Linked DNA regions of Saccharomyces cerevisiae S288C. The gene in region 1 interacts genetically with each later gene. Each region holds a gene or a part of one and is shown on either strand. Other genes may lie near its edges.

Evidence for each region.
Region 2: mutations in SGN1 (region 1) and FAA1 together harm fitness more than expected from each alone (negative genetic interaction), as found in Saccharomyces cerevisiae (2 studies listed by BioGRID).
Region 3: mutations in SGN1 (region 1) and YSR3 together harm fitness more than expected from each alone (negative genetic interaction), as found in Saccharomyces cerevisiae (2 studies listed by BioGRID).

The regions. Positions count from the first base shown.
Region 1 is NC_001141.2:355,612-358,441, reverse strand, and holds SGN1 (Sgn1p), read left to right. Parts: upstream 1-1,546; coding exon 1,547-2,299; downstream 2,300-2,830. Other genes in the region: MPH1 (3'-5' DNA helicase), read left to right, coding at 1-1,027.
Region 2 is NC_001147.6:907,518-912,018, forward strand, and holds FAA1 (long-chain fatty acid-CoA ligase FAA1), read left to right. Parts: upstream 1-1,825; coding exon 1,826-3,928; downstream 3,929-4,501. Other genes in the region: metal cation transporter COT1, read right to left, coding at 1-38; YOR316C-A (uncharacterized protein), read right to left, coding at 209-418. UniProt on the Saccharomyces cerevisiae protein: Activates long-chain fatty acids (LCFA) by esterification of the fatty acids into metabolically active CoA-thioesters for subsequent degradation or incorporation into phospholipids.
Region 3 is NC_001143.9:533,494-537,118, forward strand, and holds YSR3 (sphinganine kinase YSR3), read right to left. Parts: upstream 1,789-3,625; coding exon 574-1,788; downstream 1-573. Other genes in the region: DYN1 (dynein heavy chain), read right to left, coding at 2,154-3,625. UniProt on the Saccharomyces cerevisiae protein: Dihydrosphingosine 1-phosphate phosphatase required for efficient ceramide synthesis from exogenous sphingoid bases. Involved in endocytosis and calcium-mediated signaling.

The DNA.
Region 1 (2,830 bases):
AGATCGGATAATCCCTGAAGACATTATTCCGGAATGTCACGAGACATTGATCACGATTAATGATGAAAACGAAATAATTAATGAAATGGAAGATGTTGACGAAGTTATTCGTTATGCGACTCAGTGTATGATGGGCAAAAAGGTGAAGCCAAAAAAAGCCATAACAAAGAAGAAGAGAGTTCAGGAAAATAAAAAACCGAAGAAGTTCTTTATGCCTGATAATGTTGAGACCAGTATTGTTAGTGCAAGCACTTTAATTAATAAGTTCTTGGTGAATGAAAGTGGCGGGAAACAACTAGTAACGAGTAATGAAAACCCAAGTAAGAAGCGGAAGATTTTTAAAGCTTTGGATAATCTGGAGAATGATTCAACCGAGGAAGCTTCCTCCTCATTAGAAACTGAAGATGAAGAAGTCAGTGATGATAATAATGTTTTCATTGCGGAAGGGCAGAATGGATGCCAAAAAGATTTGGAAACTGCCATTATTCGCACTGGCGAAAGTCTTACCACACTCAAGCCACTTCATAATTTTGAACGCCCTAATATGGCTTTATTTGTGAATGATTGTGGTCTTCCAACTAAAATCGAGAAAAATGTGAAAGACATCCGAGGAAATCAACACAACCTTGAAAAAGAAAAGAGCTGTACTGTTGACAAGAATAACATGGTATTGAGTTTGGACGATTGGAATTTTTTCAGAAACCGCTATATCCCAGAAGGTGTTTCCTTCGATGTGGAGCCCAATTTTGTACAATACACCAAAGGGGTAAAAGTTCCGCATTGTCACAAAGTTTCAAAAATCATTACGTTATTTAACGACGAGAGTAATGATAATAAGAAGAGGACAATTGATATGAACTATACTAAATGTTTGGCGAGAGGCATGTTACGAGACGAAAAAAAATTTGTAAAAGTTAACGATAAAAGTCAAGTCGATAACAACAGTGTCAACCATGATTCATCCCAATCTTTTACCTTATCGAACGCAGAATTAGATGACATACTGGGCTCAGATTCTGATTTTTGATAGGAGACTCTTATACGTCGGCGTCTATACAAAAATAACGCTGCTGTAATATTTAAGTATTTATAGATTTTTCTATATATCGCATAAATACTTCAAGGACATTATATTTTTAGTATCAACTTATTTTCTTTAGAATTTTTCATTCATTAAGGATACGGCACTGTTTTTGAAGCAACAAAATATAAAAATTGAGCCAACGACGAGTACAATCTGTAATCTTCCACGCCTACCAATGCAAAACCTTTCTGTCATGAAGCACTAAGCATAGCGCTTCAATTTGTGGCAATCACCATAATAAACAGCTTGTTTCTTGGAGGATATGAAAAAGATTATCAATCATTCGTTAGGTGAAAAAAAACCGCAACAATTTCCTACACTCCGAAAAGTAACCTTAAAATGCAGCAAATTTCAAATTTAATTTTGATTAAGTAAGTAATCTCAACTTTCGCTCTCCAACCAGGCCTATTAACATAAACATATATCTGCTGTCACATAGTGTCATCATTTGCAATTGCTGTTATGTCCCAGGAAGAGAAAGTGGATGCTAAGGCAACCTTAAAGACTGAAATTTCGAACAATAAAAAGAACGACAAGCAAGAGCTCGAGCTGGATGAACTTGTGGGTAAACTATCTATCGAGGGCACTCCACAGGTGTCGCAAAAGCTAAGCAAGGAGGAAAAACACGCTCATCAACTTGAAGCTGACTCGCGTTCTATCTTTGTCGGTAACATCACTCCGGATGTCACCCCAGAGCAAATAGAAGATCATTTCAAAGACTGTGGCCAGATAAAAAGAATAACACTTCTTTATGATAGGAATACGGGAACACCAAAAGGCTACGGCTATATTGAATTTGAAAGTCCGGCATACAGAGAAAAAGCCCTGCAATTAAATGGAGGAGAACTTAAAGGCAAAAAAATTGCTGTCTCCAGAAAAAGAACTAACATTCCAGGATTTAATAGGCATTACAACTCGCAAAACCAGTATTTCCAACAATGGCAATGGAATTATCCCTTAATGGCCTACCCCAATCCCGATACCTTCCCTTATTACCCACCGTACCCTCCAAATCAGTCTCCAAATCAAAATTTCGGATATAATAAGAACAATTATTATAGGAGTCCTTACAATAACAAGAATAGAACCTTCCAAAAAAAACACTTCAACAGTGCCAAAGACTCTACAAAAAATATTAGATCTACTTCCCAAAAACCTGTTGTCATGCCGTCTGACAACGTTAAAAGTTCTACCCAAGAAAAAGATTCGAAATAAACACAAGGCTTTCATGTGTATACTTAATAATAATTAAGTGAGCTGCTGCTTTGAATAAGTTGAAGGACAACTGGTGTTATCTCGCTTGTCTATCCAAACCTTCAAGAATAGGGTAAATGCAAAAGCAAATATAAAATGCCACAACTACAATCAAAAAAAGAAATGTCATCGCTTGTTACAATATTTTCATTCCTTTATTCAAGGATTTTTTTTTTTAATTTTTCGTTAAAAAATATTGATCACTTTATAGGGAATATTATGTACCTGGCTACAGCTGAAGCTTGCCTCTGTATGTAAAGTATCTAAAATATATCAATTTTTTTTTTTGGATAACACCTGTTTTCATTACCCTGTATCTCGTATTCGTGAAAATAACTATTCTGAAGTAATAATTATAAAAAACATTTCGGAAAACAAAACCATTAATAATTTGTTTTTAATTTTAAATATCAATATTATAATAATTTATAATATTATAAAAATTTAATTAAAAATATAAAAATTTTCACGTGAATCATATGTATATATATT
Region 2 (4,501 bases), on another chromosome or scaffold:
AAGGATATAATTTTTACCTGTTTGCTTCCGAGTTTCATATTTACTCAATCTTTCCGTACTTTGTGTTAACTTTCTTTCTATAGCTATGCAGAACTATTCTGAGCAAAGTGAAAATAATTGGTTACTAAATAGAACCAGAAATGCTTTTCGAGCTCCCACGTAGAATATATAAGACCAATAAATTCCTTTATTGTACGGATATTCTGCATTACAAATGAGTCTTCTGCTTTATGCGGATCGTCAGCTTATATTGCCTTCGTACAGAAAATGAAAATTCACTACTGGAAACGGGTGAGCGGATGTATGAGTGTATAGTATACACCCGGTTTTTTTTACCCTTTCTAAGACCGGAGCTGGCGACAGTAAGTGATAAGCGGCCGTTGGCGGCCGTGGGTGAGTTATGCATGGGAACCAGCATGAGCCAGCGATGTTCACTATAAAGAGATTAAATGTAGAAAGTGCTGAGAGACCGATCGATTGGTAAACTTTTCAAAAGGTGGCCTTCTCCACACTTTCTTTTTCCCTCGTTCACTCTGCCTTGATCACATGCTTTTTTCTATGGTTAACTTTGAAAAATTCGTTCCATATCGCCCGCCACAAGTTAAAACCAGATATGCGTGGGATATAGTAGGGTGGACTGTTAAGTTAGCTATAATGGGCTTGTACTCTTTTTGAATACAAAAACCACCTTTCTACACCTTAATACAAGCGGTGGTTGGAAAGCATTCTTGATATATATAATTATATGAGTTTTGAAAAAAAGTACTGGGCATCATTTAAATAAGCGGGCTAAACTTTGTTTATGTTTAGGTTAACGATAGACATATTTATTTTTTTTTCTAGGAATAAAAATGAAGAACGGGAAGAAAAGGAAAAATGAAAATGAAGAATATGAAGAGTAAACCTACTTAAAAAAAAAAACCATACTTTAGTATTTAATGTAGCTACCACGCGTATTCGATACACTATTATTTTTCTTGACTTAGTATGTCAATTGTAGGTAGCCTCATGATGCCCTCTTGATCTAAGCGCGGTGAAAGTCCGCAGGCAATTGCTATAATACTGACAAAATTTATAAGGGGAGAGGGTCTTTTTTCGGTCCGCACGGAGCGGGCGAAGAAAACGTAGCGGTGAGAAAAGAATACGTCACCAAAGTATCAGAAACGTCACTGCGTTGTAGATGTAAGACCGATCCACTTTGCCAGCTGCTTACGCTGCGGAAAGTAAACAGACCTAGCTAGCGGACCGATAGAGCCGGCTGAACTTTATAACAAATGCGCCTTCTAACAAGCGATGAAGCCATGCTTAGCGCGGCAAAGAGAATTACTTAGAATATGGATGATGCAGCCCTGTCATATTCTTCCATAAGGGAATGACAAGGACAATAGTAAAGTCGATCACGCCCTGTCAGGAACATGATCTCCGCCATGTGAATATTTATGCATGATACAGGCACGAATACATCATATAATACGAATGACACAGGGGCACCCACCCATCGCATATCAGGAGAACTTCCCTGTGCATACGGGACAGCAGAGATAGGCTGTTCTCGCGCGTTTTTTTTTTTTTTTTGCTTTTTTTGGTTCCTTTCGCGGATATCGTATTATCGATATTACAACAAAAATGTTTGGAGATCTCCTTCGCTGTCTTTAAGTAAAAGGCTTTAACCGCTTATTTTTCTCTCTTTTTTTCCTTTTACCCCTCACTTGTCGTGAGACAATTGTAGTATATTTAGTAAGTATAGAAAGTTCTTGTTGTTAAAAAACTCGTTAGGATACAATAAAAACTAGAACAAACACAAAAGACAAAAAAAGACAACAATATGGTTGCTCAATATACCGTTCCAGTTGGGAAAGCCGCCAATGAGCATGAAACTGCTCCAAGAAGAAATTATCAATGCCGCGAGAAGCCGCTCGTCAGACCGCCTAACACAAAGTGTTCCACTGTTTATGAGTTTGTTCTAGAGTGCTTTCAGAAGAACAAAAATTCAAATGCTATGGGTTGGAGGGATGTTAAGGAAATTCATGAAGAATCCAAATCGGTTATGAAAAAAGTTGATGGCAAGGAGACTTCAGTGGAAAAGAAATGGATGTATTATGAACTATCGCATTATCATTATAATTCATTTGACCAATTGACCGATATCATGCATGAAATTGGTCGTGGGTTGGTGAAAATAGGATTAAAGCCTAATGATGATGACAAATTACATCTTTACGCAGCCACTTCTCACAAGTGGATGAAGATGTTCTTAGGAGCGCAGTCTCAAGGTATTCCTGTCGTCACTGCCTACGATACTTTGGGAGAGAAAGGGCTAATTCATTCTTTGGTGCAAACGGGGTCTAAGGCCATTTTTACCGATAACTCTTTATTACCATCCTTGATCAAACCAGTGCAAGCCGCTCAAGACGTAAAATACATAATTCATTTCGATTCCATCAGTTCTGAGGACAGGAGGCAAAGTGGTAAGATCTATCAATCTGCTCATGATGCCATCAACAGAATTAAAGAAGTTAGACCTGATATCAAGACCTTTAGCTTTGACGACATCTTGAAGCTAGGTAAAGAATCCTGTAACGAAATCGATGTTCATCCACCTGGCAAGGATGATCTTTGTTGCATCATGTATACGTCTGGTTCTACAGGTGAGCCAAAGGGTGTTGTCTTGAAACATTCAAATGTTGTCGCAGGTGTTGGTGGTGCAAGTTTGAATGTTTTGAAGTTTGTGGGCAATACCGACCGTGTTATCTGTTTTTTGCCACTAGCTCATATTTTTGAATTGGTTTTCGAACTATTGTCCTTTTATTGGGGGGCCTGCATTGGTTATGCCACCGTAAAAACTTTAACTAGCAGCTCTGTGAGAAATTGTCAAGGTGATTTGCAAGAATTCAAGCCCACAATCATGGTTGGTGTCGCCGCTGTTTGGGAAACAGTGAGAAAAGGGATCTTAAACCAAATTGATAATTTGCCCTTCCTCACCAAGAAAATCTTCTGGACCGCGTATAATACCAAGTTGAACATGCAACGTCTCCACATCCCTGGTGGCGGCGCCTTAGGAAACTTGGTTTTCAAAAAAATCAGAACTGCCACAGGTGGCCAATTAAGATATTTGTTAAACGGTGGTTCTCCAATCAGTCGGGATGCTCAGGAATTCATCACAAATTTAATCTGCCCTATGCTTATTGGTTACGGTTTAACCGAGACATGCGCTAGTACCACCATCTTGGATCCTGCTAATTTTGAACTCGGCGTCGCTGGTGACCTAACAGGTTGTGTTACCGTCAAACTAGTTGATGTTGAAGAATTAGGTTATTTTGCTAAAAACAACCAAGGTGAAGTTTGGATCACAGGTGCCAATGTCACGCCTGAATATTATAAGAATGAGGAAGAAACTTCTCAAGCTTTAACAAGCGATGGTTGGTTCAAGACCGGTGACATCGGTGAATGGGAAGCAAATGGCCATTTGAAAATAATTGACAGGAAGAAAAACTTGGTCAAAACAATGAACGGTGAATATATCGCACTCGAGAAATTAGAGTCCGTTTACAGATCTAACGAATATGTTGCTAACATTTGTGTTTATGCCGACCAATCTAAGACTAAGCCAGTTGGTATTATTGTACCAAATCATGCTCCATTAACGAAGCTTGCTAAAAAGTTGGGAATTATGGAACAAAAAGACAGTTCAATTAATATCGAAAATTATTTGGAGGATGCAAAATTGATTAAAGCTGTTTATTCTGATCTTTTGAAGACAGGTAAAGACCAAGGTTTGGTTGGCATTGAATTACTAGCAGGCATAGTGTTCTTTGACGGCGAATGGACTCCACAAAACGGTTTTGTTACGTCCGCTCAGAAATTGAAAAGAAAAGACATTTTGAATGCTGTCAAAGATAAAGTTGACGCCGTTTATAGTTCGTCTTAATGGATCAACATTTCCATGATAGGAAAGCCTCATCATACTAAAGCACTTTTTCAGTTTTTTGCTTTAGAACTGCTACCAATTATAAAATAGAATGCACAGGTTATCTTGTTTGGTTTGTTATTATCCTTTTTTCTTCTTTACCAGTCATATCACCTCATTCACGTATGTTCGTAATTTATAATGTTAAAAATGGCATATATAGATATATTTATGAACATCCTAAAAAATAACTAAATTTTTCTACATTTCAAAAAAGGTAACGTTGACTGCCGCATGGCAGTCTAATTAGGAGCTTAGTGATACATATATATATATATATAAATTTCGGCCAAGACACCTCACATAAGAAGCATTACCAGAGGTGTCCTGATCTGAGATGGACCCTGTCTCATTTGTTGAGTTGACAAAATATCAGGGAAATTGATTACCCTGGTGTGCACTGACTCCTTAGTACTCATTTTCACAGCTTCGTACACATCATGGAAGACAAACCATAGCAACCAGCCGCTCTCATTCAATCTCGCATAGACTGGAAGAAGAAGCTCCAGAAGCATATCCATTCCTTGCAAAACG
Region 3 (3,625 bases), on another chromosome or scaffold:
TTACTTCTTCACTTTGTACTTCTCACGAAAGTCTTCGTCAATAAACCTCTGATAAAGTGAAAATTCTATGAGATTCCAATAAAACCTCCAAATATCTTTATATACAGCTTACTACTTAGATAAGATGACGTTCGCCAATGGTAGGCAAAAGATAGCAGGGTGTTCTTGCCTTTCAGTCTTCGCCATGCTCTCATTCAAGAAAGGGTGCCAAAATACCGAAAAGAGACACGATCGGGGGTGTCAAAGTAGCGATTCCTGTGGGTTAAAAGAGGGTGAACCACGGCAAACATGCATGTGTAAAACCCAAAACGCCGATCTAGGGCCTGCGACGCATGGTACGAACATCCTGAAGGTATATAAAAGAGCTAAAGTCTTGACTCATGCCTGAAATCTTGATTTTTCATTGTTATATCCTCTCTATACATTAGTAAGCACCATAGATGGGCTGGCTATCAAAAGCGAGAAAAAAAAAATGCTGAATTCCAAATATGTACTCATCGGGGTGAATTTCAATGATGTGTTATGTAGATACAATATATATGTATAAGTCACTAAATGCATACATACGAGAGTCTACCTTAAGTTTGTCCAAGTGAAAAAAACTGGGCATAGCAAAAAGACGGTTGTAGGTATACCTGCGTATATGAGAAACCTTCCGACGATTTCCACTTTGGAAACACCGCTGTACAATAAACACTCTTCTTCTTCACTTGTCTCGTTATGGAAATGAACCTTTTCGCTTCTATCATCGTGAAATCTGAGTAGTTTAATTAACAGCGTGTAGACAGCTGTCTTGCTAATGACGTCTTTCCAAACAATCACAGAAGCGACACCTACCAGAGGCCTCAAGAACACCTTAGAACCACATGATGCGTACCTACTACATACAAGGTTCCATCCGTATCTTTCGGTTAACCAGTCGCTGCAATCCAGCCCACTGACTACGCCAATGAACGCTACGCTATCTTCGAAACAAGGACATTCATCAATGGGCCTGACGTGGTTAAACAGAATAAACAAGCCCCATGCTACACTCAAAAGGGGAAACCAGAGATGTTCACCAATCTGGAAATTTCGTAAAGCATGCACCACCCAGATTCTTATAAAAAAACAGATAGCTCCAACTGCGGCGCCGCTAAATAAATCCAGCATACCATGCATACCGCAGTAAACTCTACCAAAAACCAGGGTTAAGTAGTAAAATATCACCAGACTCAGTAAAAGAAGCTTTGTTGGCCATACCAGTGTGTCAGATAAACATATTCTCCAAAAGAATAATAGACTTACCGCAGTAGCGTTAGCAGAATGTGAACTGGGTGCACCATATTCTTTCGTAGTGTATTCACTTAGTGTGATTCTGTCAACTGGCGGTGATTTTGGCCTTGGTAGGCACCAATAATCCTTTAAGTAGCCACTCAAATAAATTGAATAACCAAGAACGTAGATCATGTCCCGTGTTAAATCGCGGTATCCAAGCCACACAGGCATGGGAAGCACGATAACATAAAACATGTGGGAACCCATAAGCGAAGTGTATTTGAAATAAACGTCTCTAAAAGGCGTTCTGTGCTTTTTTTGTAAAGAATGTACGAAATCTGATTGGTTGTCTGTGAATCTAGTTAGATACTGCCTTGTTTGAAACCTTAGCCACGACATCTGGCTCTCAAAATGCTCCGCTGGATGATTACCGGGATCTGCCAATAGGTGTTTGCCGCCGGAAGGAGCCATCTGAACCTTAATGGTGTCCTCGGTAACACCCAATTCAGTAACCGTCTGAATAATGGTCATAATTAAATTCTTTTACAGGCTTGCTATTTTGTATATTTTTTTGAAGACTACCACTGCCTAACTTCTTTTTGTCATGTTATCAATTCAACTAGATGTTGAGAAGGAAGCCAAGGCAAGGCTGATAAAAACTAAGAAAATAAGGAAAAATCATTATGTTATATAACATGAATTCTAGACGTACGTGCTCGTAGTTAGGAAGTATCTAAATAAGAGTCCCCACGTTACTTTAATTAGAAGCACGCCATCTTCCTACAACCGATTTTTTTGGATTGTAGATATCAGAGTCTCATCAAACAAGAGGAACCCAGAATAGGCACGTCCACTGAGAAAACCGCGGACAAGCAAGACACGCGTACCTGAAAAGGCTACATTTCTTGAAGAAGTTGTTCAGTTGAGCTAGCCACCTCTTTAGCCTGAAGACGTTCGTAATTCAAAATAGATTCCCTTGGCAATTGAAGCCATGAACTGAGTGAATCTGCAGGCTCAATCGTATTAGACAGTATGGCAGTAAGCCTTGCCCGTTCCTCTTCTTCACTTTGTTGAAGAAGAGGCTGTGGGATTCGTACCCCAGGAACGATCTGCAAATTGTCCGAGCCGCAGAATACGTGCGCACAAAGTTTAGCGACCACTTCAAGGTCTTTCTCTTCATCGATCTTTCCTCCGTATACGATCGTAGCTATGTGATCTCGCACTTGTGCCCAAGGAATGTTGTTGGTAGAATTGGTGGCTAATACATTCTCTAAATACACTGAGGCAAATTGAAAGTCGCAATCATTAAAGTAATACTTCTTGGAAAACCCATGAGGAACCAATCGGGTCCTGGCAGTGATCAAGGCATGAAACCATGACAATAGGAAGGTACAATACACGCTCCATACTCCTGAAATTTTACCAGTGAAAAATTGAGAACCCCATAGATCTTTGACGGTATCTAGTATACCTGGGATATCCTCATACACAAATCTATCAGTTCTTTGTAGCAATGGGGCAGGTAGTTTATCACCAGTCAAATGGCATGTCATGAACATTTTGAATTTCTCATGTTCTTCTGCCGCCTTTGTCTCCTCAACATGCTTGTGCAGATACGTTTTCACCCATGATAGCGACATTTGTATGTTTTGTAATAATATCCAACCACCTTCTATCTTAGATTTTGATATTTCCTCTTGAGCATAGTTTAGATTTTCTATAGACCCTAGCGGGATGATTTTTAACGATTCCTTCGAGGCTTTCGCCAATTCGATTAATTTGAATGTGCCATCAACATCTCGCTCGCTTGCCATTGTAAAATAGTTGTTCTCGGAATTGGCTACCACATCCGCGATATTCCACTCATCAACAAAAAACTCATTTTTGAACCAGTTCAACGCAGATATATACGATTTGGTTGTAACATAGTCCCATAAGTACCGCAAATCATTATTTGTATCTACGGTTAGTTTTGGTACGCCATCGCTACTTTCAGAGAGAACTCCAATCATAGTTAGAACTGCCTCTTTATATTGTTCACTTTCAATGTCGAATTTATACAAACAAAACATCGTCATAGCCATAATCATTTTAAATTTTTTGTCAAGAGCGGTGGAGAATTGACAATATACTTCTTGATATAATAGCCAAAGAATTTCATCTACCCGTGTCCTAGCTGCTCTTGTTTCCCTAGATTTCTTAATGAAGACACGTTTGAAACATGATAGAAATTGTCCTATAGAAATGCCGTAAAACCAATGAAACTGACCAAACTTCTCCAACATAGAGAATATTTTGACACTATGCTTACCGATAATAGAATACTCTTCTACCAGATTATCAAACTGTGGGAAAAACTCTTCAGATT